Linked DNA regions of Rattus norvegicus. The protein of the gene in region 1 purifies or fractionates together with the protein of each later gene. This does not show direct contact. Links are inferred from orthologs where the notes say so. Each region holds a gene or a part of one and is shown in the gene's direction. Other genes may lie near its edges. The genes, in order: Eftud2, Aar2, Prpf4, Sf3b4, Tssc4, Ttc27 and Ppih.

Region 1 (3,500 bases):
GCTCTTCTTCTGAGGCCTTATGAAGTTCTAAGGCTCAGTGGGTGGGTGGGGACACTACTATAACCCTTCCCTGCATGCTCTTGTGGAACCCTTACAACATTCCAGCCACTCAAATGCCTGAGTCGTGTGTTTACATCTAGACAGAGAAAGGGAAATTGAACCTTACTCTGGTTTTATAACCTTTATTTCCTGAGGGAGGACTTTCCAAGAGAGAGTTCATCTTTCATTGAAAACTAATCTTGTGGCTTCTGTGTTAATCCTTCGCTGTCCCATAATTCTCTTTGTTTTTCTCTACCTTCCTTCATGTCTGAACTATGTGGTGCATTGGGAGCTTGGGGAGAATGGCACAGATTTTGCTCCCACAATTGCAGGTCTTACCCATCTCTTTTTTTTTCAGACCTGTTTTGTAGATTGTTTAATAGAACAGACGCATCCGGAAATCAGAAAGCGCTATGATCAAGATGTAAGTAGAACTTGGGCTGAACTGTCGGGAATGAAGCGGGATGCCTTGCTCCCTCCAGTCCCTTACCTGCACTCATCAATAGAGGTGTCTTTAGACTGCTGCTGTGATTGGAATCTATTAATAGGCGTAAGCAGATAATTTGAGCTTTCTCGAGCATGGAGAATGTTAACCTGCAGTATTTTTAGGTGATCTGTTCTGCATTTGGGATCCCTCCTCAGGCTGTATCCTGACTTTTACAGTCTCTTTTCTATCATTTTATTAACAGCCTGCTCTATAAATATCTCACAGTCGGGCCTTGTTATTTTCATGGTAAATTTAAATGCCTGTGAACAAGGCCAACTGTGGCAGCAACTCTCAGTGCAATAAATGTTCATACTCAGCCAAATTGACTGTTTGACGTGTGAGACTTGGAGGCTCCTAAGATCCAGTGTAGTGTGTACAGCCTAGCTCTCCAGCCACACGTGATTGTAGTGTCCACTTACTCCCACCCCTGCATCTCCATCTGGGAGGGCACTGGTCTCGCTGAGTGGGTTGCTGTGGGGACACTGCTGTCTTCAGTCAGTTTTCCTCCTGAGGGAAGCACCTGGAGTTGGGAGGAGGCGAGGAGGTTGATTGATGGTCTGCGTATGGGAGAGAAGTCTGAGCTCGGGCGCTGACATCATGATTGTTTTTCAGCTATGCTATACTGACATCCTCTTCACAGAACAAGAGGTAAGTGAGTCGTGGGAAATCAGACTCTGCCTACACAGACCCACCAGCCGTAGGTTTGTAGAGGATAGGAGCCTTCACCGGAGCACTGCCATTTAGCCTTGCTCTGCACTTCTCTCTCGCTGCTCTCAGTCATCCCACAGTGAGAACTGGGAAGGCAGGCTGAGTACAGGTGCGAGCCTCCCAGTCCTCGAGTAGATGATGATGAGAGCTGATGCTCGTATTTGTAAAACTCCACACGATCTTTTCAGTATCCCACAGTCCCTAAAATGTCTCCGGTGGGACCATCTGCTTCCAGGAGGGGCTTCTCTGTGAAGGGCTGTAGTCCTGTGTGCCACTTGTCTCTTTCAGCCTGGATCTGTCCCCTCCTTTATAATCTGTCCCTTTTTTCCCTAACGAACTATGTGGAAGGCTCTCACATGTGCACAGGGTTAACTAAAGGAATTTAGGGCAGTGTTGCCCAGGATAAGCCATCCTAACAGCAGCGTTAGTGTTTTTGACAGTCACTGTTTGAGTGTGGTGGGATTTTGTCTGGGTTGTTTTTTTCTATTGTCCATGCTGGCCTCAGACTCAACATGATGTGCTGCGGCCTCCCAGTGCCTGTCACAGACCTCACTGTGGAGTTTTGGAAGTTTTTCCCTTTTTCTTATTTTTTTGGGGGGTGTGTGGGGAGTTGTGAGTGAGATGGGGTCTCTCTATGTAGTGCTGTCTTGGAATTTGCTATGTAAACCAGGCTGGCCTTGAACTCACAGACATCCTCCCGCCTCTGCCTCCTGAGTGTTGGGATTAAAGGTGCACAGTGTGAGTGCCTAGCTTTTCTCCCTTTTAAAATACTTACTTCCTTTTAGAACCTTTAAGTATTTCTTTCCTTTAAAAACAAAAACAAACGCCCTCAGCCCAGATTATTTCTTTTTTTTTTTTTTTTTCTTTTTTTTGGAGCTGGGGACCGAACCCAGGGCCTTGCGCTTGCTAGGCAAGTGCTCTACCACTGAGCTAAATCCCCAATCCCCCTTCTTTTTATTTTTATGATGCTCATGGGCTTTGTTTCCAAGGAAGGACCTGGGGTCTTTGCGCTTACGTCACTGCTTTGCTCTTCTCATTTCCCTTCGTAACTAATCACCCTGCAGTATGGGGAGATGCACCATCTTGCTGATGGACAGGTAGAACAGACCTGTAATCGCAGCTCCTGAAAAGGCCCATTGGAAGTTCAAAGCCATCTTTGTGGAGTGGCTTCTGCCTTTAATCCCAGGACTAGGAGGCAGGGGCAAGTGGATGGATCGCTGAGTTTGAGGCCAGCCAGGAAGGAAGTTGCTCAAAGTCTACCAGGGGTACAGAATTAGGATGATGTCAGCCTCAACAATTTAGTGAGACTTTGTCTCAAAACATTAGAGCTGAGGTTACTGATCACCTAGCATGTGAGAGACCCATGTTCAGTCCTATTGAATTCTTTCCCCTGCCCCCCAAAACATTAGTTTTGGGGCCAGAGATGTAAGTCTGTGGTAGAATACTTGCTTAGTATATACAGGCTAAGCAAAAAAAAAAAGGGGGGGGTGAGTGCACAGGCCTCTAATCAGAGACAGGGGGATCTCTCAGTTTGAGAGCAGCCTGGTCTACACAGAGAAACCCTGTCTTAAAAACAAAAAGCAAGGGCTGGAGAGATGGCTCAGCGGTTAAGAGCACCCAACTGCTCTTCCAGAGGTCCTGAGTTCAATTCCCAGCAACCACATGGTGGCTCACAACCATCTGTAAAGAGATCCGATGCCCTCTTCTGGTGTATCTGAAGACAGCTACAGTGTACTTATATATAATAAATAAATCTTTAAAAAAACAAAACAAAAAACAAGCCAAACAAACAAAATCTGTGTGTCTGTATGTCTGTGTGTGAATGTTTTCTATCAACAAAATCATGGCAGATAGAGTTCTAGATAAAAAGAATTACTCTAAGCAGCTACAAGGAGGGTGTCTGACGTAAGCAGCTGGCAACTGCTAACCCCAGAGCTGAGTGACTCCTCCGGCTCGGGGAGAAGTCCTGAGCATCTGTCTGGATTTCAGAGAGGCGTCGGCATCAAGAGTACTCCTGTGACGGTGGTGCTGCCGGACACCAAAGGGAAGTCTTACCTCTTCAACATCATGGACACACCAGGTGGGTGGGCCCTGCCCTGTCACGGCCTCATCCGGTTCCTCTGCTCCATTTCCCAGGGCACTACAGGGTGTTGCTAATGTTTATTCTCGTTCAAGGGTTCCCTTCCCTGTGACTCAGCAGCAGTTTCCTGCCCTTGGCTTCACTTCCATCTTTATTTTGCCATAGGGTTTAAATTTTAGGGACTTT
Region 2 (3,500 bases), on another chromosome or scaffold:
CAGGTGTGTACCACTGCACCCTGCCATGTTGTCTTTAAACTAGGAAACCAGCCCTTTCTTCTCCCTCATTTTCAACGAGGTTGTTGATGAGTGAAAGAAGGGAGTTTGAAAAGCTCTCCTCCACACCTCAGACTTTTTGTTAACTTTAGATGCTCATGGGAAATTAGGTAGCCAGTTTGATTTGGTCGTCTTTGACAGATCTTATGGTATTCTCCAGTAGCAGGTTTTAGGTAGAATTGTAGCTTAAGATGACTTTTGCATTGTTCTAGTTTAAAATGAGCCATTTGAACCTTTTCCACCTTCCCCTGCTGTTGAGAGAAAGACATCTGATGGGCAGTAGACACAAGCCTGCAGTACCAGCGGGCAGGTTTGCATTTGGTACTGTATGGCCACCTGTCTTTAAGGGATGCCCCTGGCGTGGTGGAATGAAGACTATTGCTCCTTAAATCACACCCCCAAATCTCTTCGATCCTGATTTTCCTCATCTGTTAGACAGATGCAGGGTTGTCATGGGGATTAAAGGGAGTTAATTTCTGTCAGGATCTAACTCAATATTTGATATAGAGAATGTGCAAGTAATAAAATAGCCTTTCCCCATATTCTGGTCAACTCATATTCATTCACTCTCTCCCACCCCCTGCCTCTCTCTGCTGTTCTAGGAGACAAAAAAAGAGTCCTGCTTTTGGTTACCCTCCACTGGCCTCATGGCTTCCATGCAGATGGATCCTGAGTTAGCCAAGCAACTCTTCTTTGAAGGAGCCACTGTGGTCATTCTGAACATGCCCAAGGGGACAGAGTTTGGCATTGACTACAACTCCTGGGAGGTGGGGCCCAAGTTCCGGGGTGTGAAGATGATCCCCCCTGGTGTCCACTTCCTTTACTACAGCTCTGTGGACAAGGCCAATCCCAGGGAGGTGGGCCCTCGGATGGGCTTCTTTCTTAGCCTGAAGCAGCGGGAGTTGACAGTCCTGCGCTGGAATGCAGTTCAGGAAGAGGTAGACCTGTCTCCAGCTCCAGAGGCTGAAGTAGAAGCCATGAGAGCCAATCTCCCAGAGCTGGACCAGTTTCTGGGACCTTACCCATATGGTACACTCAAGAAGTGGATCTCACTCACCAACTTCATCAGTGAGGCCACCATGGAGAAGCTGCAGCCTGAGAGCCGGCAGATCTGCGCCTTCTCAGATGTGCTTCCCGTGCTTTCCATGAGGTACACCAAGGACAGGGTGGAACAGAACCTACCGCTCTGTGGCACCGAGTGCAGAAGCTACCAAGAGGGCTTGGCCCGGCTGCCTGAGATGAAGCCCAGGGCGGGGACAGAGATCCGCTTCTCAGAGCTGCCCACTCAGATGTTCCCAGCAGGTGCCACACCAGCAGAGATCACCAGGCACAGCATGGACTTGAGCTATGCCCTCGAGACTGTGCTCAGCAAGCAGTTCCCTGGCAACCCCCAGGATGTCCTTGGTAAGAAGGAGCTAGGCTTTGGGGGAGGATGCTAGTGGGGGTGCTTAGAATAGAGGCTCATCTTGGCTTATCTGCCCAGTGTTCTTAAAGGAGGTAGGAGGTGGACTGCTAGTAGTCATTGGAATGCATCTTCACCCGTAGCCTAGAGACTTTAAGTCAAGAGCTCTAAAATGGGTCTAGCTGGCTGGCTGTCTTATCTAATGATTTGAGCATCTTACATGAGCCTGTGTACGTAATCCCATGTTTGAAAATTGCTGACATAGCCTACCCCTGCAAAGAGGAAGGATTTGACCAATAGTGGTCACGGTGAGATTGGAGCCCAAGGCTCCTAGTTGCTAGGCCTGATCTGTGTTCCTAGAAGCCTTCACCTAACATCTCAGTTTGCTTTTGAATTTTTTTTTTTTTTTTTTTTACCAGAGTTTATTTAGGGCATGGGGAGGGGAGTTGAGGGAATAGAGACAGAGAAAGGCAGAGGTGGGAGGGGAATGGGGAGAGAAGGCTGAGGAAAGAGAATAAGAGAGTACCTCGCTTTTGACTTCTTAAAATGTTTCTCTTTTTACTGGCTTAGACCAGGACTTTTATTTTTATTTTAATTGTTATAGTTTTATTGCTGCTTACACTCTTAATTTTAAAATAATATGTACTTATCACAGAATAAAAATAAAATTTACTCTAAGTCCTATACCTAGAAACAACTATCTTCATGGTTGAGTGCAGTTTTTCTTTTCTTTTTTCTCTTTTTCCTGTGTGTTTCTATGTATTTCTCTTATCCTTTGTATGCCAGTCTTTTCAGTTGAGGTATATTGTAGGAGTGTATGTGGGTTTTCTAGGGACAGGATTAGAGGGCAATGTCCTGTGCTGTGCTGTGCTGTGCTGTGCTGTGCTGTGCTGTGCTGTGCTGTCAGCATTTCCATCACCGCTCATCTGCTTTACAACTGTATAGCCCAGAGCTGTGCAACTAGTTCTCAGTGGCCACTCCATAGGCGCTCCTAGTTCCTGTTGTAAATAGAGCCTCTTGAGCACTGTGGTGAAGGTGCCTGGGTTCAGGGTTGGATTGTGCAAGAATTGCCAGATTTGCCTCCTCTCTCAGCAGGTGGTGGGAGACAGTTCATCACCTTTGACAGCACCCAGCATAGATTCTTAGACTTTTCAGTTCAGGGGTTGAAAAGCTGCCATCTTTCTATTTCTGAACATTAGTGACAACAAACATTTTGGCATGCTCTCTGTGTGTGTTTGTGCACGTGCCACATATGGCAGCCAAAGGTTAGCCTCTGGGGTATTGTTCCTTAAGTTCTGCGGACCTTCTTCTTTTGAGATAGGGCCTCTCATTGACCTCGAACTCACCAAGTAGACTAGGTTGGCTGGGAGTAGACCCTGGGTAGGCATCTGCCTGTCTCTGCCTCTCCAGTGCTGGGGGTGAGAGCACGTGTACCACCACTTCAGCTTTTTAAATTCCAGTTCTGGGTCCGGACTCTGGTCCATGTTCTTTGCAAGACAAGCATTTCCCTGACTGAGCAGCTCCCCAGCCCCTGTAACACCTCTAATGCCAGTCCTTATTGTCTATAAACTGTCCAGGGCATCACATAACTTCCTAGTGGGGAAGGTTGGTGACAAGTTTGGTTATAGACCTTTTTATATCCCTGGCTGAACTGATGATAAAATGGATATTTTATAGGTGCATCATGGGGCTGGAGAGCTGGTTCAGTGGGTAACAGCACTGACTACTCTTCCAAAGAACCCTGGTTCAATTCCTACATCCACATGGCAGCTCACAGCTGTCTGTGGCACCAGTTCCAGAGGATGTGGCACCCTCACGCTCGGACAGAACACCAATGCACATAACAAATAAATCTTTACTAGGTGCATTGTAATGCATGACATACTATGTTATATGAGTAACCCCTGGATCTTGCTAAACATGATTAGGAATCTTGTTTTCTATCTCTTAAACATTTCAATATGCAAAATATATCCATGCCAGGCATAGGTGGCATACATCTTGAATCCCAGCACAGGGAAGGCAGAGACAGGTAGATCTC
Region 3 (4,175 bases), on another chromosome or scaffold:
AGACCACTAGAATAAAAAGTTGTGATAATGATCTTCGTGAAAGTTCCGCAAAAAAAAAGTTCCGATATAGTGTGCATCCATATAAATTATTATTGCATGCTAGCAGAATGAAACAAAAGACTACGATGTATACGAAACATTTACACTTCTTACACTTCTCTCAGGAGTGTCACATTATATCACATCTCAAGGGGCCATATGGTCAACACAAAACACTGGCCTGTGACAATTCAAACTGCTTTATTCTATCAGATACTACCTTCTACCAGATCCCTAAGTAGAGAAATGGAAGCCAGCTCCAAAGAGAAAGGGAAGAAATACTTAAGAAAAATAATTTCCTACTTGGGTATGAACTGAAAGCCTCACCACTAGAGAGCAACAGTGAGTACGGGTTAAAAGCGCGGCAGTCCACCCGCCACATTACTAACCCTACTACACTGTGGCTCCAGAACGACGGATTACCTTTTCTCACCAGAATTTATTTTCTGATCTTTACTCTTGTTGTCCCGCGACTTAAATAACTAAGATAGAATAAGCTCCTTGCGCGTAACGTGGCATTTAGTAAGCCCTCGAAGTGGAAGTGCTCTTCTAACTGGAGTTGTTCGGGGAAGAAAGAGGCTTAAGAGTGAGAATGAGTCTGTTCAGCTCAGCAAACGCGAATATTTTGCAATCCCCGCAACTTTCATGTAAGGGTTTAAAAAAAAAATATCTCTGACGGCCTAGCAATCATTGCAACTGCAGCTGCTGGTATACACTTTATCTGGCGCCTCCCTGGACCCTTTATTTCAAAGAACATATAAAAAGAACAGGCTGTAGACAAGTAAAACAACAACAAACTAGGCCGCAGCTCCTCCACCACATCTCTATTTTAGCCTTAGAAGGCTCTTCGAGTTTAATGTCTTCTTAAAGCACAAAATCACTTCGTAGCCACCCAGTTACCAGGGGCCCCCGGAGAACTTCCGTCGTGAACAACAGTCCTCTTTCCCAGCTCCAATGCTGCAGAAGTCTAGGGAGAGATTTCAATGGCAGCACAGGCCTCGGTTTCAAAATGACGGAAGGCCTCCCGAAGGAGAGCAGAGACCCTTGGTTTGTTCCAGATTAGACTTGCGATTCGCAAACTTACCTCTTTTCAGGCCTCTGAAGCTTCCCAGAACCTCAACTCCCACCTTGACTCCATTGCTACGCAGCCCGAACTACACTTCCCAAGTTGCTCTGCGCCTTTTTTTCCCACGCGCCTCTTCTCCCGAGAGGTTGTGCCGCTCTATAAGGCCACGCCCATCGATGACAGCCGACACTTGGCAACTACCACTCCCAAGATACTTCGCGACTCCTAGAGCACGAACTGGTACATTTCCGGCCAGTGACGCACTTCCACTTTGCTAGGCGCGCGGTTCCCGGTCTGAAAAGCAGAACGGGATTTGGCTAGGGCCTCGCGGCTCCAGAGCCCGGCATGGCCTCCTCACGAGCCTCCTCCACGGTACGGAGTTCCGCATCTAAGTTCATGCTTATCCTCTCCTAGGGAGGACGCGGTCCCCGTGGGAAAGGGCCGTTACCTTACGGGTCCGGGCAGAGGAGGAGGAGGAGGAAGGCTGGGGGACCGTGGTGTGGACCTTAGCAGCCTTTTCCTGATTTCTAAACGCCTAAACTGCAGCTCTTTTTGCACTGCTCTTACTTAAGCCCTGAGCAGTGAACAACACTTTTTCTGACTGCTCCAAAGCACAGTTCTTTGAAATCGGGCAGTGTCTTGACGTAAGCTGTACGACTGGTACTTATGAGGCCTCCCAACTTCTAATAGGCTCTGAAAGTATTTGAAATGTGTATTCCAGTAACATTGTGACTTGGTGCGCCGAATTGTTTGGGTTGTTTTGGGTGTATGTCCAGTGGCGAGAAGTTATTTTCGTAAAATCGGAGATTGCATTTCGAATAGATTAAAGTAACAGGCCCCAAAACAAACCAAGACATATCAGACAGAAATTGTTTAATTGTAATTGTGTGCCAAATTTAACGAGAGCGTGAGCTCGGCGCAAAGTCACTTTCGACTTTGTCCTAGTTGTGAGAGGAAATAAAATGAAGGCTCAGCATTTCCTTCATTCTTTTGGAAAGCATGGTTTGCTAGGACCAAACCTTAATCGGGGTCTTTGATTTAACAGACAACCAAAACTAAAGCACCTGACGATTTAGTTGCTCCTGTTGTGAAGAAACCACACATCTATTATGGAAGCTTGGAAGAGAAAGAGCGGGAACGCCTGGCCAAAGGAGAGTCTGGGATTTTGGGAAAAGAAGGACTCAAAGCCGGCATTGAAGCAGGAAATATTAATATAACGTCTGGTAAGATGCAAGTTGAAAATCACACACCCCCTCCCCCCCTTTTTTAACAGTGCTAGGAATCCAACCCAGGGTTTTTTGCATGCTAGGCAACTGTTCTGCCACTGAACCACATTCTCATCTTTCCACTACACTCTTGCCTGTGACCTCACACTGCTTCTGCCTCCTCCCTGGTACTAGAATCAGGTGTACACGACTGTGCCCCTCTGATGAGTCATGTTATAGGATCAAAACTTATTGGTCTGGGAAGCTACTTCAGGTGCCGAAAGCTTTTCTGTGTGACCATTAGGATCTGAGATTGAGCCCCAGAACTCACGTTTTTTGCTGGCTTGTTTTTTCTTTTTCTTTCTTTCTTTTTTTTTTTTTTAAAGCTCATTGTGGTGGAATCGAATGTTGGGGAGACATACCAACTTCCACATGCACATGCATACAACCTTACCCTTCTGTTTTTACCTCAATCTACTTTGCCTACCTGGCATTACCCAGCGAGTGGTTTTCTTACATTTTATACAGTTCCTTGCAGGAATTACTGGTTATCTGCATACTCAGTGGATGTTTGGGTTTGGATTCATCAGGTGTATTTGTCTTTGGGAGAGGTAATGTAGTTTTGGCATTAATGCATAACTGTTTATAGGATTCTCTCCTTTACTTTTGTGGGGTTTTTTGTTTGTGTTTTCATTTTCGTTTCTGGTTTTCGGGACAAGGTTTCTCTGTGTAGCCCTAGGCCAGGCTGGCCTCAGACTCAGAGGTCCACCTGCTGCTGTCTCCAGAGTGCTGGGATTGAAAACATGTGCCGCCAGCATCTGACTGATTTAACTAAGTAATTACGAGCATTTAAAAAAATCCTCACACTTTATCCATACACACTTCCACTATTCTTAATGTCTTCAAGCCTGTCTTCATTCCCAATGTGAGTGTTTGTTGTGAGTTTCAAAGCTAGTCACCATAGTACGCAAAAAGCCTTTCCTATTTGTCAGAGGAGTCCCGTGTTTCACGATCATTTTTTCCTCTCACTAGTTAATGTGTGTGAGGTACTGTTTCAGCAGATGGCAGGCAAGAAGCAACATCTCTGTCAGGCTTTCCAAATGAGAGATGTTCTAAGCCATGTAAAGAGATAATGAAATAAATGGAAGAGGTAGCCCGCATCTTCCTGCTCTCAGTCTAAAGCATCACTTAGGTTTATGTGTTTGCCATCATTTAATAAGCTGAGAGTGGTAAGCTTTAAAAAGTAAGATAGAAGGGTGTATATGTGCAGCTTTACATAGTTTACTTCTAAACACCGAAGGAAATTTGAGTGTTAATGAGATGGACATACTTACTTATTAATAAAGAAGTAAATCTTGCCTGAAATTTTAATATTACAAGTGAGAATATTTCAAATGTTTTTCATAGTACTTTGATTTTGTTTTTTTCTTTTTTTAATCAGCAGCTCAGATAGTGAATATTCTTGCTGTTAGCCCTTCCTTCTGTCCTTTCTCCCTGACAAGGTCTATATGACCCTCAGTCTCACCTTGTGGCCAAGTATGACATTGATCCGGTGGTCTCTGTGCTGCCTCTGTGTGCTGAACTTACAGGCACTGAGCTCTCACCCTGAGCTTCTCCCCATCTCTCTGTTATTGTGGCCAAACAGCGGTTTTAAATAATCAGACATTTTAACACAGTATAATCCAAAGATCAAACTATTTGATACTTGATGCTGAGGAAGTTAAATCTTTTCCTCATAACTGAATCATTATGTCTCTATAAGAGCAAAAAAACTTTGTACAATAAAGACATTGCAGTTCATCACATGGAATGGTCTCTGAGCCACTTTGGGGCAGGGTCTTCCTTAGCGTCTCATGGCATGGCAG
Region 4 (4,106 bases), on another chromosome or scaffold:
TGACAATCTCTCTTTGCACCTTCCTTTGCCTCTCCCCAGATAGGCTCTTCAGCTCTCACAATCTCTGGCCTTCAAGATGAGCTGTCTCATCTTCAGGAACTATTAAGAAAATGGACACCAAGAATATCTCCGGAGGACCACAGCAAGAAAAGAGATCCAAATACTATCCTTTCTCAGATCTGCTGAAACTGCTAGCCATCTCAAAGGCAGGGCAGAGGGCGGGGGTTTGTTTCTGCTGATGTTTATGTCTGACCTTGGTGCTTCGGGTTTGGTATTCCAGTCTGTAAAGCTCACTTAGTAGGCCAGTTTCTGTAGATGGTGCTACCAACCTCCAGCTCTCCTGTCTCGTTTGGTTCCTGGAGCTATTTTTGTTTCTTGTGATTTGAAAAATAAGAAACAAAACCAATTCAGAATGATTGCCTTTTTTCGAGGCAATTCTGTGCCATTTGGATGGTTGTCAAAAGTATGATATCAGAGACCCTTTTCATCAGCCCCAGCAAGGTGTCCTAGAGACCTCATTCTCAACCCCTCAACACTACATTGAAATCTTTTCTTAGTCTTCTGTGGGAATGAGGTGAATAAGGGAGACACCTCCTCCTCCCACTGTATATTTTTGTAGCAGCATTTCTATTTAAGGAGTTCATTAAAGCACAGTATTTCTACACATTGCTGGTATTTTCTTGTATTGAATGAAGATCTCAGCAAAGCGGTGGTGGTTGTGGGGTAGTGTGAACTGAGAAAAGGACACTTATTATTGTAAGGAAATAAAGGATTGGCAGGGCTGGGCAGAATGCACATGAAATATTGGGAAAGCCCCCCCGCCCCACACACACATACGCACACACACCTTTTTTGAGACAAGGTCTCTCTGTATATCAGGCTAGCCTGGAATTTTTTTTTTTTTTTTTCCGAGACAGATTTTTCTGTGAGGCCATGGCTGTCCTGGATCTCGTTCTGTAGACCTGGCTAGCCTTTAGCTCAGAGATCCACACCTGCCTCTTAAAGCTTCAATACCTGCCTGTGAGCACCCTCGGTCTCAAATTTCCCAAGATTGGAGGAGCTCTGACACTTACGGGAAACCAAAATACCTCGAGCTCAAGCCTAGGCCGAGGGCGAATCTGCACGAGCGTTGTGGACCGAATTAAAAATAGGCTGTTTTCAAAGGCAGTCCTGGCCCTGGATATGGCGGGACTTTGCCTAGCACACGTCTCTGCGTCACAGAACATACAAAGCTTGGTTTAGCATTTCAATTTGCGCTTGGGGTGCAGTGTGATGCCCTAACAGTCTGGAAGCATTCAGGGCTTTAGTTAACTGTATCAAGACCGGCTGATTCACTTCTGTTCCACCCCGATTGCTGCGGCAGCTCCAGAGCACCTTTCCCTTCTGTCCGACACGAATCTGACTCCTAAGATGGCCGCGATCGCTTCCGGCTCCTCCCTTGTCGCCGGCCCCGCCCAATGTGAGCCTTGGCCCGGAAGTGGAAGTAGAAACTGAGGTCAGGGGGGCGGTGCTGCTGCTTAGAGACGGCGGGAGCCCTTTCGCCATGGCTGCCGGACCGATCTCCGAACGGAATCAGGGTAATTGGGAGAAAAGAGACCAAGATAGGGGCAGGGAAGTGAAGAGCTGATTAATGCCAGAAGCATTTCTGCTTGGGTGGGAGACGAGATCCCTCTGATGTGAGACCGACCTCTGGGCGCCTGGCTCGCCTCGAGGCCAAGTGGAGGCCCAGGCCTATGAAGAGTGATGCTTCTAGATCCATTCTCTTTAAATACTCCTCTACCAAGAAGACAAAATTCTCCGGAAATACAGGATCAGCAAGAATGCCAAATTAGACGTAGCGGATTTTTCTAGACTGTGGAAGCTGAGGGAATTTCGGGTCTTTAGTTAACGTTTTTGGTTTTTATTTTACTTTTCACTCTTGACCCTCTCCTTACCTCCTGCTTCTTCCCTTTAGATGCCACGGTGTACGTGGGAGGTCTAGACGAGAAAGTGAGCGAGCCACTGCTATGGGAGCTCTTTCTCCAGGCAGGGCCAGTGGTCAACACCCACATGCCAAAGGATAGAGTCACTGGCCAGCACCAAGGTGAGTACATGTCGAGAATTAACCCTGTATAGCGTTAACGGCCCCTGAAGAGTCACAACTCCAGTCACAACTACTTTGGAATGAGCAACCTAAAGGTTCTTTTCCCCCTTAAGCTTCAGTTCAGTTTTTGGAATAGTTTCTCTTAGCACTAGTTACTGGAACCATTCTCAAGTGAAGTAAGATTATTCTTCTGTCATGTTCTTTTTATTGTTTTATTTTCAAGACAGTGGTTCTCTGTGTAGTCCTTGGCTGTCCTGGAACATGCTCTGTAGACCAGGCTGGCCTCAAACTCAGGGCTCCACCTCTGCTCCAGCATGGTGGCATTAGAAGCATGAGCCCCCACCCAGCCCTTACCTGCTTTGTTCTTTGTGTTTGCAAACTGGTGAGTTAATGTTTGATTTTGAATCTCTTCACCTGAGTGGTCTTTTTTCATTGGTTTCCTAGGCTATGGCTTTGTTGAATTCTTGAGTGAGGAAGATGCTGACTATGCCATTAAGATTATGAACATGATCAAACTCTATGGGAAGCCAATACGGGTGAACAAAGCCTCGGCTCACAACAAAAACCTGGATGTAGGAGCCAACATTTTCATTGGAAATCTGGACCCAGAAATTGATGAGAAGTTGCTTTACGATACTTTTAGCGCCTTTGGAGTCATCTTACAGACCCCCAAGATTATGCGGGACCCTGACACAGGCAACTCCAAGGGTTACGCCTTCATTAATTTTGCTTCATTTGATGCTTCAGATGCAGCAATTGAGGCCATGAATGGGCAGTACCTGTGTAACCGCCCTATCACTGTGTCTTATGCCTTCAAGAAGGACTCTAAGGGTGAACGACATGGCTCAGCAGCTGAACGACTTCTGGCAGCCCAGAACCCGCTGTCTCAGGCTGACCGCCCTCATCAGCTGTTTGCCGATGCACCCCCTCCACCCTCTGCCCCCAATCCTGTGGTTTCATCCCTGGGTTCTGGGCTTCCTCCACCAGGTACAGCTTGTAGTTCAGACTATGCCAGTGAGGCCCATGGGAGGGAGGTCAGGGGGCAGAGGAAGCCCTGGAAGAGTAAGCTGTGAAGTCAGTGGGCAGTGAGGGAGGAGTGAGGATGCTGGTGGGAGGGAAGAAGTTGGTGCATGTCCTTAGGAAGCTGGAGTGTAGCATGCTGGGAAAGACATTCTGTCCGATACCACTAATTGTCCTTCATTTCTTAAACAGGAATGCCACCTCCTGGTTCGTTCCCACCTCCAGTGCCACCTCCTGGGGCCCTTCCTCCTGGGATACCCCCAGCAATGCCCCCACCACCTATGCCACCTGGGGCTGGAGGACATGGTCCCCCAGCAGCAGGAACTCCAGGGGCTGGACATCCTGGTCATGGACATTCACATCCTCATCCATTCCCACCAGGTGGGATGCCCCATCCAGGTAAGTGCGCTGAGCTTGTAGAGGGGCCTTTGTACTGCTTCTCCCAGTGCTCTTTGTCTTGGGTGGAAATAGTCCAGAGTCCTTTTCTTCAGAAAACAAACAATACTTTGTACATGTTGGTGTGCTCCTGTGTTATCTCCACCTATAGCTTGTGCTTGGCAAAAGCTCTCAACCTCTCCTCTGCTTCCAAGGTTGCCAAATCTAGAAGACATTTCTGCTTTTGGTTTTTCGAGACAGGGTTTCTCTGTGTAAACCTTGCTGTTCTGGAACTCCCCCTGTAGACCAGGTTACCCTTAAACTCAGGGATCCTCCTGCCTCTGCCTCCCAAGTGCTGGGATTAAAGGCATATGTATTTTTAGATTTTCTAATGTCAACTTTAGCAACCTGGATCAATTCCTTTTTTATGTATGTGTAGATTTCGTGCTTGGTTCTCTTTTCTGTGTTTATCTGTAGTGTTAAATGTGAAGGTTATGATTTATTCTGGGTCTCTGTTCTGAGGTTCTTGGTAGACTAGAAAAGGCTGCTGCTCAACCCACAGTTTACTTTTCTCTTTCCAACACCATCTTCAATGGCTCTCACTTGTAGGAGCCCAGTCCACAACTCT
Region 5 (3,675 bases), on another chromosome or scaffold:
AGGAGGAAAAAATCAGGCATGCTAATGGGACTGCCAGACCTCTTCCTGTGCCAGTGGTGTCAGAGACCTGGCTCGTCAGCTCTGAACTTTGCCAGGTACAGGGTGAGCAGGTCCAATAGAGCCTGTGGAACACAGTGGGTGGGGAGGGCTGGGACCCTGGGAGCACTCCATGTTGAGTACTCCCTCACTTCTGTACCTCCCTGTACTGGGAGCTCAATGCTGACCTAACACCAGCCTTGACCTCATTTCCACTCATCTGTTGGGAATGCCAGGTCGGCTGAGTCGGGTAGGAGGAGCCACAAGGCAGGGGAATCCAGCACAGAATGTTGGGGATAAACTGCAAGAACACTTTCCTTTTGAGGGACAAGACAGTAAAGGTTAGACCATTACCCCATCTCAGGTATCTAGGTGTTGGAAATATTCCACTGAGCTGGATGGTTCTAGCTTGTGTCTCAAGAAATAAAAGGCAGTCCGCTGAGCTCACCCCTGTGAACTGAGGATCAGGCTAAAGCAACCTCCTGGACACAAGGGGCAACCACCACTGTCTTTCTCTTTGACTCCTGTCTGCACCCCTCCCCCAGGCTGCTGGGTTAATTGGCCACTAGAGAGGAGAAGTCCTGGCTAAGATTCAGGTCCCAGCAGTAGGCTGATTTGTCGGTGAACCCCAAGCTTGTACTAGGGCATTCTAGGTCTCAGCCACCTCCACCCACCACGCCAGGGCAACCTGTTCCATGCTTGGCTGGCTTCTGAGGGAACCTTTATATTCTATGTTGTGAGGCCCATGGGCACCAGGCCAAGGCTGTTGGAAGCCTGTTGCACAGCTTCAAGAACATAGTAAAGGAGGAGAGAATGCAGCAGCCCAGTGGATCCTCAGACTCTGGTGTCTAAGGATGCAAGAAAACAGTCCCAGGCCTGGAGGAGGATTATGTGTGGCCTTGAATAGTAGGGTCAGCGTCCAGCACCTAAAGCGTCCGTCCGTGCCTGTGTCAGGAAGCACAGACAGGCAGTGCCCACGGTAACGGCCTCGAATCTATGAAGCCCCAACCAACCCATTACAAGGACCACCACGTCTCTATACGCCAAGAGCCAACCAGGACCTTGGTCCCGCCCAACTCCAGAAAGCCAACAAAGCACAAGACCCGCACCACTTCCGCCCAGGGCCGGAAGTGTCTGGGAAACTGGTTGTAGCTCGCAGTGCGTAGTGACGCACTTCCTCGTGTCGGACCCGGCCCAGGTGGCTTCCGACGGACGACGCTAGAAGCCTCAACCCTTTGCGATTGGCAGTTAACCCTAGAGTATTGTGGGAATCACGGCTCCGCCTTTTCCCCTTTCGTCATTTCTGGGTGGATTTCCGTGTGCGCTCCGGTCTTCGGGATGGCACACATGTTACAAGTCCCGGCAGGCATTAGGCAGTGACCCCATTGCCTTCTGGGAGTTGTAGTTTCTCGGGCGCTGAAGCCACAATATTCTGATAGCCCGAGACTCGGTTTCCCAGGAATCCAAGCGAGATTGAACAGGCCGGAATCCCGTGGAACTGGCGGGACGCTGCGGGAAAGGTGGCAGGTTATTGAAGCGTGTACGGATGCTGGAACGGTGAGCACTGGCCTCCCTAGGGCCGCGACCAGGCCAGTACCGTGCCTGTTTCTGCCACCTCCCCCTCCGGACCCCGGGTGGTGCCTTCAGTGTGTGCCCAGAGAGGCTGCGCTTTGCTAAGAGCTCGTGATGGGACGAGCCGCTGATGGAGATCCCCTGTCACCAGCATCTCCCAGCGCTCATCTATTGTATGTCCACACTGTTATGATCTCATGGTTGACTCTCTCCTTAACCCCACCTAACCTGCAGCTCCACATCTGTGCACGCTAGGATACCCTTTAGCCACCCAGCTTCGCGAGGCCTCCGGTCCGGTTGTGAGTAGAGGCGCCTGGCACACAGTGGAGGTGAAAGAGCCCGGGAGGGCGGGGAGGGGTGCGGCATTAGGTACACCCCTCACGGCAGAACTGGGACTGCCTTGCTACAGGTGGGACGGATGTCAGGTCTTATGGCGGAGACAGAGGCCGGCTTGGAGGTTGAGGAACCCACCGAGGATGACACCCTGCCTTCTGACACCGTCTCCCTCAGCGACTCGGACTCTGACCTCAGCTTACCTAGTGGTGTGGAGGTCCAAGCGTTGTCCCCAGAGAGGCTTTCTGGGGAGAGCCAGGAGGACTCGGGCCCTGATGACCCTCCCTCGCACCCCACGGGCATTCCCACCACTGCAGTGCAGCCGTTCCACCTCCGAGGCATGAGCTCCACTTTCTCCCAGCGGAGCCACAGCATCTTTGATTGTCTGGAGAGTGCAGCCCGGCAGGAACCGTGCTCTGCTCCCCAAACCAGTGTGGTTGACAATTGCAGCTTCAAGCGGCCTGTGGCTCCCCCAAGTCAGACTCCAGCAAGAAGCTTGAGCAGAGTGCATGGGAACACTGACCCGACCAGGGTACACCCTGTCCCTGACTATGTGTCACACCCTGAGCGTTGGACCAAATACAGTCTGGAAGATGTGTCTGAAACCAGTGAGCAGAGCAATCGTGATGCTGCCCTGGCCTTCCTGAGCTCTCGAAGCCAGGCATCCCCCACAGACTATGTGCCCTTTTTCAACCAGGACCCCTCTAGCTGTGGGGAGGGAAGAGTGGTCTTCACCAAACCAGTGCGGGGCAGCGAGGCTAGGGCTGAGAGGAAGAGGGTCCTAAAGAAGGGGGTTGTGTCAGGTGCAGGGGGTGAGGCCTCAGTGGAGCTAGCCCATCTCGCCGGGCCTGAGGCTGAGGAATGGAGTGGCCACCAGGGACAGCCAGAGGTGGTAGTGCCTTCAGAAGCTGCCCGTCCTGAGTCCTCATCAGGCCCCATAGGTATGAAAACTGTTGGTTTCCATGGCAGCAAGAAGCGGAGCAGAGACCACTTCCGGAACAGGGATAGTAACCCGGAGGGGCCAGGGTCTGAGAGAGGACCCTCAGTTTGACTGCAGTGCCATCGCTCTACCTCCTCACCTGCCCAGTCCAGGTGGGACAGTGTGGGCTCTCTGTAGTAGGGATGTGTGGGCCTCAACTCTGGCAGAGACTGGGAATTGTGGGTCAGGGGACCTTGAAGGCCTTTGTGCCCCATTGTTTGGGGTGAATAATAAAGGTTTTGAGTATTTACTGAATTTCGTGAATTTTTCTCGGCCCCACTCAAGAGTTATGTCCAAACAGTCCTGGGCAGCTAACTACAGGACTGCATCTCTACCAGCCTCATCCTGCCTTCCCCGCTCTAGTGAGGACCGCTGTGAAGGTTTGCCATGGGCATTGATGTTTGTCACTGGTAACCTACCCAGAGGGAGTGGGCTCGTAGCTGTGTTCAGCCTTGTGCCCCTGATGGTACTGGATGAGCATAATATGGTCCCCCTGCCCCCCAGAAACCAGTGCAGCCCCAGCACTGGGCCCGCACAGACCACGGGTTCTAGGAAGAGGATAAGTTGTGAGCCAGCAAATGGTTGGTGTCCGGGCTGTATGTCTCCAGGACTTGTGACCTCTGTATAAGACACAGCTGATGCTAGATCCTTCAGCTGAAGCTGGGCCAGGGAGGAGGAGAAGGATGCACGAGTGAGTATTTCATGTGGAGGCCAGGGACTTGGACCAAGTTAGCCAGCCTGGCCTGCTAAGCACC
Region 6 (4,229 bases), on another chromosome or scaffold:
AAAGAAGAGCCAAGCAGTGCCACACCTTTAATCCCAGCACTGAAGAGGAGTTAGAAGTATCTATGAATTTGAGGTTAGCCTGGTCTACAGAGTGAGTTCCAATTAGAGCCAGGGCTATATAGAGAAACCCCATATTGAAAAAAAAAAAAAAACAAACAAACCAGGGCTGGAGAGATGGCTCAGTGGTTAAGAGCACTGACTGCTGTCCCAGAGGTCCTGAGTTCAATTCCCAGCAACCACATGGTGGCTCACAACCATCTGTACTCACTGTCACTAAATAAGTAATTTTTTTAAAAAGAAAAACCAAACCAACCAACCAACCAACCAAAAAAAGTTCTGAAGCTGGGTTTGGTGACAAACCACTCTCCAATCTCTGTGCTTCAGTACTCCAGCGCTCCCAACAGGCAGATCTCTGTCACTCTGAGGCCAGCCTTGGGCTGGACCGGCTGCTGTTGTTTTTCAACAGTGAAGCAGAATGAGAAAGAAAACATTTATCCTCTTTAAAATAAGAGGCAAATAGCAAACCTCCTGCCCAGCAGCTGCCACACTGGTGGGATGATATATTTTCTTGTAGTTTTTTTTTTTCCACTTCAGCAAAGTGTTCTGGGTTCTAACGACTGAATTGCAGAAATTTTTAGGTTCTTTTCAGGTTTATGTGATGACAGTATCAAAATCAGACCTTTCTTTCCCTTTTCTTATTTGGTTTTTCAAGATTAAGGTCTCTGTAGCCTTGGCTGTCCTGGAACTAGCTCTGTATAGCAGGCTGGTCTTGAACTCAGGGATCTGCCTGCCTTTGCTCTGCTCTGGAGTGCTGGAATTAAAGGGGTGCACCGCCACTCTCTTTTTTAATTTTATGTGTATGTGTATTTTACGTGCATTTTGCTTGCAGGTATGTTCGTGTACCATTTACATGTCACGTGCTTGGAAGGCTAGAGGAGGGTAACCAATCTTCTAGAGGCTTAGAGGAGGCTGGCTTGGCACTAAGGGTGAAGCTCAGGCTGGCCTTGAAGCTGAAACCATCCTTCCCCATCCTCCTCAGTGCTAAGATTATACTTCCAGCTTGGGTTTTCTTGCACTTTGAATCATCCAGAGGATAGCCTATGCCGACGAAGTAAGTTCTAGTCTGGGGCTCAAGGGCTCCACTAGAAGCAACTTCTGCAGTCTGCTCCCCGTCTGTTGAGAGAAAAGCCTCGGTGTATTAACCTCCAAGGGCTTAGTTTTGCCTCACGTAGTCGCATATTTTCAAGCAGATTTGCCTCCACTCATCTCTCCTAGAAACAACCCTTGGCCACTGGGATCACTGCACGCGGAGCCACTCAACTCATTCCCACTACCCGGATCCCGCTAGAGTTATGCTCTGCGCATGCTCACAACTGAGTTTCCGATTGGTCGTATAGAAGGAAGCTGCTCCAGCGTGGGTTTGTTTTCCCAGGATTCCCTGCGCTGCTGTCATGTCTGCCTCCATGTACATGGATCCTCACATGGGACTCTAGGCTTGTGTCTTTACTCTACCTGTCCTGACTAGACGCCGGCGACATTGGACCCTCTCACTTTCGCTTTTCTCCTCCCTCGTGGGACACTGTACGGGGTGCAGCGATGCCGGGGGTGATATGGACGCCGGAGCTGGCGCTTCTGAGGGGCTTCTCCACGGAGGCAGAGCGGCTGTTATGGAAACAGGAGGGCATCTGTGGTTCAGGTGAGAGAGCTGTACCTTCGCGGAGTTAGGCTAGTGCCAGAGCTGTGAGGACAAAGGATGCTAGCCCTCGATACATAGGAGGTGTCAGGAGGGAGGAAGTTTCGCTTGATGGTCTGAGATCTGGTAGTCTGGCAAAAGTTTCCGACAGACAGACTTGAGCTGATTTTTAAATTTAGAACTGACGAGTAAAAGAGAGTTTAGCAGGAAGCAAGCAAGCAAGCAAGCAAACAAACCAGTGTTGTAAAAATGTCGAGGCCAACGTGTGCCTGGGGAAATATGAGGGGATCATGAGAGAACCGATGTGTTTGGATTGGCTTCCTGGGGGAGAATATTGAAGGTAGGAAGGAAAGCTTTCCTGTGTCACTTAGAATATTTGTGAATTTCCTGAAGAAGGAATTCCTATCTTCACCATCACCATCACCATCACCATCTGCTGCTCATAGTCTTTCTAGGTATCATATAATTGTAGGAAAGATGATGTTTGTTGGCAGAATTAGAGTGTGCAGCCACTATTCTATCTTTTTGCATATTAAGATATTTATGTAATGGATTATCATTTACACTTAAATTCTCTTGTGTTACTGAACTCACTTTTTATATTACAGATATTGGAGTTTTCTTAGAATTGCTGTTAGAAGGGAGCTATGAGGCCTTGTTCCTGCATTCAACAACACAGAATATTTTAAATTCAACAATGATGGCCGAAGAAAAGATTGACAGCTACCTGGAGAAGCAGATAGTGAATTTCCTGGATTGCTCTACGGATTTGGAAGAAATTGAAAGGTAGAATTTTATTTGAAATTTCTACAGAGAAACACACTGGGTGGGGGCTGGAGATGTGGTTTAGAGGTTAAGAGCATTTACTGCTATTTCAGAGGACCCAAGTTCAATTCTCAGCATCCACTTGGTGGCTCACCACTGTATAACTCTAGTTCTAGGAGATCCAACACCCTCTTCTGACACCAGTGGGCACTAAGTACATGTGTAGTATGTATGTATACACCTAGGCAAAACACTCATATACTTCAAATAAATAAATAAATAAATATTGAATACTTTTGTGGCATCTTGACACTGGAAGGCCCTGGTATCTAGTAGTTGTTGAAATACCTGGACTCACGATGTGCCAAGTAGTCTCCGTAAGGTCTCTCTCTGGTCCAGAAGATCTTCTAGAATGGAAAAGGAGAGTGGTGTAGGATCGAAGTGAGTTTTGTACAAGAATGACATGTCCTTGGTGGTCACTGCTAAATGTCCCAATGCTTATGTCTGATAAGTATTAGCTATCAGCTTGTTTCCTTTGATGTTGCTTGCTGTTGGTTTTTTTTTTTTTTTTTTTTTCCGTTTTGTTTTGAGACAGGGTCTCACTATGTAGCGTTGGCCTACAACTCACTCTAGACCAGGCTGGCCTCAAACGCCCAGAGTTCTATGTCCTCTGTCTCTCACAGGCTGGGACGAGAGGCATCTACTTTAAAATTTCTTAAACGTGTAGCCCGTACCTTGGATCTTGCTGTTTCTAGGTTCCTGAGAGATGCTTGCATTTACGTTTACTGTGTTTTGGGTCGTTATCTCTGGAGATATCAGGGAACTCCATGTGTTTATCATAGATCCCTCAGTTACCATTCTTCCGTTAGGATATCTACACATGAGTCAACTCTCAGCCTTCTGGAGGCCTCTGTCTCATTGTCCTATGTTTGTTAGCTTTCCCCTTCTCAGCTGTCCAAAATTCTTTTTTTTTTTTTTTTTCCTTTTCTTTTTTTTTGGAGCTGGGGACCGAACCCAGGGCCTTGCGCTTGCTGGGCAAGCGCCCTACCACTGAGCTAAATCCCCAACCCTCCAAAATTCTTAACCATTTAGAGTGCATACAGTTTCATTCTATCCTGATGTTTGCAGACTCGTTTCATATAGTCCTTCGACGAATTAAACCAAGTACCTGCTGAGGTTGGGTTGTAAAAATAAATAAAGATGTAACTCATAGTCGTAAGTAGTTTGGCGATGATGTTACTGTTTATTTGCAAGCTAATACAATTCTGTCTCAGTTTTTCTAATTTTTGCTAGTGTCATTCTTGGTTTTGTTGTTGTTTGTGACTGTGTCTTGCTGTATTACTCATTTGGCCGGAAGCTTGCAGTAAAAAACTTCAGGCTGGCTTCTAATGCATAATCTTTTTGTTGTAGCTTCCCAAATTTGGGAAGTATAGGTATACACCACCATGGCCAGCTTATTTCTTCTTCTTCTTTTTTTCTTTCTTCTTTTGTTACTGGAGTTGAGCCTCCAGCTTCTCACTTACTAGACACACATTCTAGCACTGAGCTGTATCCCTGGCCCTTTTTTATGCTTTTTATTTTGAGGCAGGGTCTTACTAAGTTGTCCAGGGTGGCTTTGAACTTGTGATCCTCTTGCCTCAGCCTCCAGTGGGGATTGCAGGCTTCAGCGTCAGGCCTGGCTTTCTTCTTGGTCCCTGTTGGTTGGCTGCTGTGTTTGTACTGTGTGAAGTTAGCCTTGTGGTGCCCATTCTCACCCCCCTCTTCCTTTCCT
Region 7 (3,952 bases), on another chromosome or scaffold:
TAAAAAAAATTTTTTAAGTCCCCAAATAAACACATACTTGAATAAGGACAATAAGAGATTAACTGGAAAGTGAAATTACTAGCACAAAGGTTTTAAAACCTGAAACTTTCTATATCAAATGAGCTAAAAGCTTGTGACAGAAATGAGTCTAGAAACCTATCCCATGGGCAAATACCAATCCCTGACACTATTAATGATACTACTCTATTATGCTTGCAGGCAGGAGCTTAGCATGGCTGTTCTCTGAGAGACACTCTACCCAGCAGCTGACTCAGAAGGATGCAGAGAACCATGGCCAAACATTGGATGGAGCTTGGGGACTCTTAAGGAAGAGTTGGGGGAAGTGTTGAGGGCCTCTGAGGGGATAGGAACTCCACAGGAAAACTAACGGTCAACTAACATTGATCTTTTGGGGCTCTCAGAGACGGAACCACCAGCCAAAGAACATACACAGGATGGACCTAGACACACACGCACACGCACACAGTGCAGATGTGCAGCTCAGTCTTCATGTGAGTCCAGAATAACTGGAGTAGAGGCTATCCCAAAAGATGCCTGGCTGTTTCTTCTAGCTGGGCTGCCTTGTCTGGACTCAGTGGGAGAGAGTGGGCCTAACCTACAGAGACTTGATGGGGGTGGGGGATAACCAGAGGAGATCTCTACCCTCTCAGAAGAAAAGGTAAAGAGGGAATGGGGGAGAAATTGTAGGAGGGGGTAACCAGGAGAGGGGGCAGCGATCTCGGGGTGTAAAGTGAATCGATTAAAAAATAAAAACATTTTACAATCATAAAAAAGAATGAAATTACATTTCCAGCATCGCGACTTCGTCAACCCTACATAACATACCATTTTAAAATATGGAATGTGACCCAGAGGGTCCTCCTCTCATGGGCTGTAACAGAGGACACCAAGTGTGACTGCTCGGGAAAAGCTGTCTGCAAAAGATTCATTTGTATTACGCTAATACAGTCAAGAGAGTGGAGAAGCCCATAGACTTTGATAAAGACGCCTGCGCTCCTTCCCGCAGCTCGGACCAACTCAGCTAAAATTCCCTCAGTACCTGCCACACTTCCGGGGCGGGGCGCAACCGCGGACTGTTTCCACTGCGTCTGCGTTTCCGATGAAGTTCGCGGGACCTGTCACCGGAAGTTAGGCTTCTACTTCCGAGTCAAAGCCATGGCGGTGGCAAATTCAAGTCCCGTCAATCCAGTGGTCTTCTTTGATGTCAGTATTGGCGGCCAGGTGAGATGCGGGCGGCCCAGCGGGCCTGTGCGGGCTGACTGGACTCGGGTAAAGGAGGCAGCCGAGGGGGCCCTTCTAGCCCTCCCGAGATAGGCTGGGTCAGGCGGTGGAGGTGGGAGCTTCCGAGCTGCATGGACAGCGGTCGTGGGCTGAGTATTGCATCTCCCGTTTCTTGCAGGAAGTTGGTCGCATGAAGATCGAGCTCTTTGCAGACGTGGTGCCTAAGACGGCAGAGAACTTTAGGTAAAGATATGTATGCTCCAAGTGAACCAGAGCTGAGCCCTCGGTTCAGTCTTTGCCTTGTCTGCCTCTGTTCATTTATTCATTGCCTTAGAGTAGTGCTCTGGGTATTGCACTGGCCAAATAGCTACCGACTTTGACCGATCCCATATCAACTTAAATCACTAGTCTACGTGCCCTGACATCTGCCCGATCAGTTAGTTAGTGGGCATGCTGGCCCCAGTGTTTGAACTCTCCTCTCCAGAGATTAGAGGTGCTCCAAGCAGTGATGGTACGGCGGCTGAATCGTTCACTGTTTCTTTCTTGATTTCTTTCTTTTTAGGCAGTTCTGCACTGGAGAATTCAGGTCAGTCTCAGATGTGTTTGACTTCTCCACCAACTCCTGAAGGGTGACCTGGACGTTTGGTGAGGGTATTGGAGAACCATGAACAGGTCTCTAGTAATGAAAGATGATATGCAGAGAGAAGATGACTCCTTGGATGTGTTCTTTATCTCTTCTCCCATCCAGATCTTAGTGAGAGTCCTCTTAGCCTCTCGTGCATCCTAAATGGGGAAGACCCACGTTTATTTTTCATCATTCCTAGTGTCTTCCTTTGTGTTTACAGAAAAGACGGCGTTCCGATAGGATACAAAGGAAGCACCTTCCACAGGTAAGGAAGGCTTTTGGCAAACTGGAAATGCAGTCATCTCTTGGTATCTGTACAGGCAGTCCTGTACACCTGAATCCAAAACCTGTGGAGGATTAAGTCTGTTGTTTAAATGGCATGTTCAGGGCTGAGGCTGTAGCTTGGTAGAGAATTTGCCCAGCATTCATAAGACCCTGGATTCGGTACTCAGCACCATGTAGTCTGTGCACAGTGCCTTAAGTCATGCCTGACTTTATGTCATATTGATTGTAGAAACAGTGCCAGGGAAAGCACTCTGTACCTACTCAGTACCTGTTCAGTACAGGAGCATGTCCACATGTTCCTAGAGATCTAAACTCAGATCCTTAGGCTGCACAGCAAGCACTTTACCCGCTGAACCCTCCCTGGTTCTGGGTTATGACTTAGCAGAGACTTTGCGGTAACCACTGTTACCAGGCAGTCGTCTGTAGGAACCTGACCTTCACGATCTCCTGGCTTTCTATGTTTACTTATGAGTTTGACAGAAGTTGCTCCATTTTAATCCTGAAAATGTCCATTGTCTCCCATATCAAGGGTTTTAGAGCTGCAGTCTGTAATCCTCCCCTGGCATTCTTGTGAGGTGTTATGATGTGTTTTCTGAATTCTGCAAGGTAGGGAAAAGAGGCTAAGCAAAGCTAAGGACCTGGGTACACTAGCTGACATCATCCTCGAGTTTCAGTGTGTGCAGCAGTCCATTCACGTTGTGTTCTCTTTCCCCAAAGTGAGGTGGTTTTTTGATGATGTTGTTTTGTTTTCCTTTGGTGACTGTAGGTGTGTCTCTGCCAGGTTTTCAGTTCCTTTCTGTTGTTGAGGTGCTGACTCATACACCTGAGGGCAACTTAAAAGGGGCCCCTGAGTTAAAACTGTTAATCCCTCAGCTGGCTCACCCCAGGGACAAAGACTTTCTCTAAGCCTCAGTGATAAACACTGAACTCCAGAAGACATGCTAATCTACCACTTCAGTGGCTGAACCACTGAATCTTCCCTCAGGATTTTTTTTAACTCTCTTTCAGGGTCATAAAGGATTTCATGATTCAGGGTGGAGATTTTGTTAATGTAAGTACTGCTTTTTTTCTTTGTTAATTTTTTTCCAGCAAGGCCCAGTCTTGAGATTTAAGAATAATAGCTAAGGGACGGAGAGATGGTCTAGCAGTTAAGAGTACTGACTGCTCTTCCACAGGTCCGGAGTTCAAATCTCAGCAACCACATGGTGGCTCACAACCCTCTGTAATGGGATCTGACGCCCTCTGTCAGTCACTATCTTGTTGCCTCATGACAAGGTTGCACTAGATGAAAAGCTGCTTGGTTCAGCTAGGACAGCTGGCTGGCTGGCTCCCCTTACCTGTGGACCATTCTCCCCGGCCTTATCATCTGGTTTCCAGGGTGCCCAACACTCCAGGCCACTGATGTGTCTCTTCTCTACTCAGGGCGATGGTACTGGAGTCGCCAGTATTTACCGGGGTCCATTTGCAGATGAAAATTTTAAACTTAGACACTCGGCTCCAGGCCTGCTTTCCATGGTAAGTGAGGTTCAGTTAAGATTTGGGGTTAGATTAGATTACTGACTGGTTTCTGGTGCCTTGACACCCAGTTCTGTCCCTTGGAATTAGGCCTCACCTGCACCTAGCCCCTCCTCCTTCCTCAGTGTGGTTTGATCTTGTTGGGTGGGCTTTCACAGCTGTAGAAAGCAGACTAAGCTCTGACTTGTGTTGTGCCTTTATATGTACCAAGACTGGGCTTTTGCCTCAGTGTTCAATGGGCTTCCACGGTTGGTGCTCACCTGTTGTTGCCCTGGTTGCCGTGAG

Evidence for each region.
Region 2: the proteins of Eftud2 (region 1) and Aar2 purify together in Homo sapiens (affinity purification with mass spectrometry; 5 studies listed by BioGRID and IntAct, counting the BioPlex papers as one, with this or other methods). This does not show direct contact. The link is inferred for Rattus norvegicus from reciprocal best matches to the Homo sapiens genes EFTUD2 and AAR2.
Region 3: the proteins of Eftud2 (region 1) and Prpf4 purify together in Homo sapiens (affinity purification with mass spectrometry; 4 studies listed by BioGRID and IntAct, with this or other methods). This does not show direct contact. The link is inferred for Rattus norvegicus from reciprocal best matches to the Homo sapiens genes EFTUD2 and PRPF4.
Region 4: the proteins of Eftud2 (region 1) and Sf3b4 purify together in Homo sapiens (affinity purification with mass spectrometry; 3 studies listed by BioGRID and IntAct, with this or other methods). This does not show direct contact. The link is inferred for Rattus norvegicus from reciprocal best matches to the Homo sapiens genes EFTUD2 and SF3B4.
Region 5: the proteins of Eftud2 (region 1) and Tssc4 purify together in Homo sapiens (affinity purification with mass spectrometry; 4 studies listed by BioGRID and IntAct, counting the BioPlex papers as one, with this or other methods). This does not show direct contact. The link is inferred for Rattus norvegicus from reciprocal best matches to the Homo sapiens genes EFTUD2 and TSSC4.
Region 6: the proteins of Eftud2 (region 1) and Ttc27 purify together in Homo sapiens (affinity purification with mass spectrometry; 5 studies listed by BioGRID and IntAct, with this or other methods). This does not show direct contact. The link is inferred for Rattus norvegicus from reciprocal best matches to the Homo sapiens genes EFTUD2 and TTC27.
Region 7: the proteins of Eftud2 (region 1) and Ppih purify together in Homo sapiens (affinity purification with mass spectrometry; 3 studies listed by BioGRID and IntAct, with this or other methods). This does not show direct contact. The link is inferred for Rattus norvegicus from reciprocal best matches to the Homo sapiens genes EFTUD2 and PPIH.

What each region holds. Positions count from the first base shown.
Region 1 is NC_086028.1:88,332,658-88,336,157, reverse strand, and holds part of Eftud2 (116 kDa U5 small nuclear ribonucleoprotein component), read left to right. Parts: intron 1-397; coding exon 398-463; intron 464-1,138; coding exon 1,139-1,174; intron 1,175-3,223; coding exon 3,224-3,314; intron 3,315-3,500. UniProt on the Homo sapiens protein: Required for pre-mRNA splicing as component of the spliceosome, including pre-catalytic, catalytic and post-catalytic spliceosomal complexes. Component of the U5 snRNP and the U4/U6-U5 tri-snRNP complex, a building block of the spliceosome.
Region 2 is NC_086021.1:165,520,524-165,524,023, forward strand, and holds part of Aar2 (protein AAR2 homolog), read left to right. Parts: intron 1-659; coding exon of another isoform or gene 660-704; coding exon 705-1,461; intron 1,462-3,500. UniProt on the Homo sapiens protein: Component of the U5 snRNP complex that is required for spliceosome assembly and for pre-mRNA splicing.
Region 3 is NC_086023.1:80,874,136-80,878,310, forward strand, and holds the start of Prpf4 (U4/U6 small nuclear ribonucleoprotein Prp4), read left to right. Parts: upstream 1-1,375; 5' UTR 1,376-1,450; coding exon 1,451-1,477; intron 1,478-2,150; coding exon 2,151-2,328; intron 2,329-4,175. UniProt on the Homo sapiens protein: Plays a role in pre-mRNA splicing as component of the U4/U6-U5 tri-snRNP complex that is involved in spliceosome assembly, and as component of the precatalytic spliceosome (spliceosome B complex).
Region 4 is NC_086020.1:186,420,361-186,424,466, forward strand, and holds the start of Sf3b4 (splicing factor 3B subunit 4), read left to right. Parts: upstream 1-1,306; 5' UTR 1,307-1,543; coding exon 1,544-1,577; intron 1,578-1,954; coding exon 1,955-2,083; intron 2,084-2,527; coding exon 2,528-3,070; intron 3,071-3,295; coding exon 3,296-3,502; intron 3,503-4,106. Other genes in the region: Mtmr11 (myotubularin-related protein 11), read left to right, coding at 40-186. UniProt on the Homo sapiens protein: Component of the 17S U2 SnRNP complex of the spliceosome, a large ribonucleoprotein complex that removes introns from transcribed pre-mRNAs.
Region 5 is NC_086019.1:207,681,070-207,684,744, forward strand, and holds Tssc4 (U5 small nuclear ribonucleoprotein TSSC4), read left to right. Parts: upstream 1-1,475; 5' UTR 1,476-1,593; intron 1,594-1,842; 5' UTR 1,843-1,907; exon of another isoform or gene 1,908-2,017; 5' UTR 2,018-2,026; coding exon 2,027-2,992; 3' UTR 2,993-3,175; downstream 3,176-3,675. UniProt on the Homo sapiens protein: Protein associated with the U5 snRNP, during its maturation and its post-splicing recycling and which is required for spliceosomal tri-snRNP complex assembly in the nucleus.
Region 6 is NC_086024.1:26,451,237-26,455,465, reverse strand, and holds the start of Ttc27 (tetratricopeptide repeat protein 27), read left to right. Parts: upstream 1-1,429; 5' UTR 1,430-1,596; coding exon 1,597-1,696; intron 1,697-2,301; coding exon 2,302-2,479; intron 2,480-4,229.
Region 7 is NC_086023.1:138,206,781-138,210,732, reverse strand, and holds the start of Ppih (peptidyl-prolyl cis-trans isomerase H), read left to right. Parts: upstream 1-1,152; 5' UTR 1,153-1,176; coding exon 1,177-1,242; intron 1,243-1,420; coding exon 1,421-1,485; intron 1,486-1,804; coding exon 1,805-1,828; intron 1,829-2,087; coding exon 2,088-2,132; intron 2,133-3,160; coding exon 3,161-3,203; intron 3,204-3,574; coding exon 3,575-3,667; intron 3,668-3,952. UniProt on the Homo sapiens protein: PPIase that catalyzes the cis-trans isomerization of proline imidic peptide bonds in oligopeptides and may therefore assist protein folding. Participates in pre-mRNA splicing.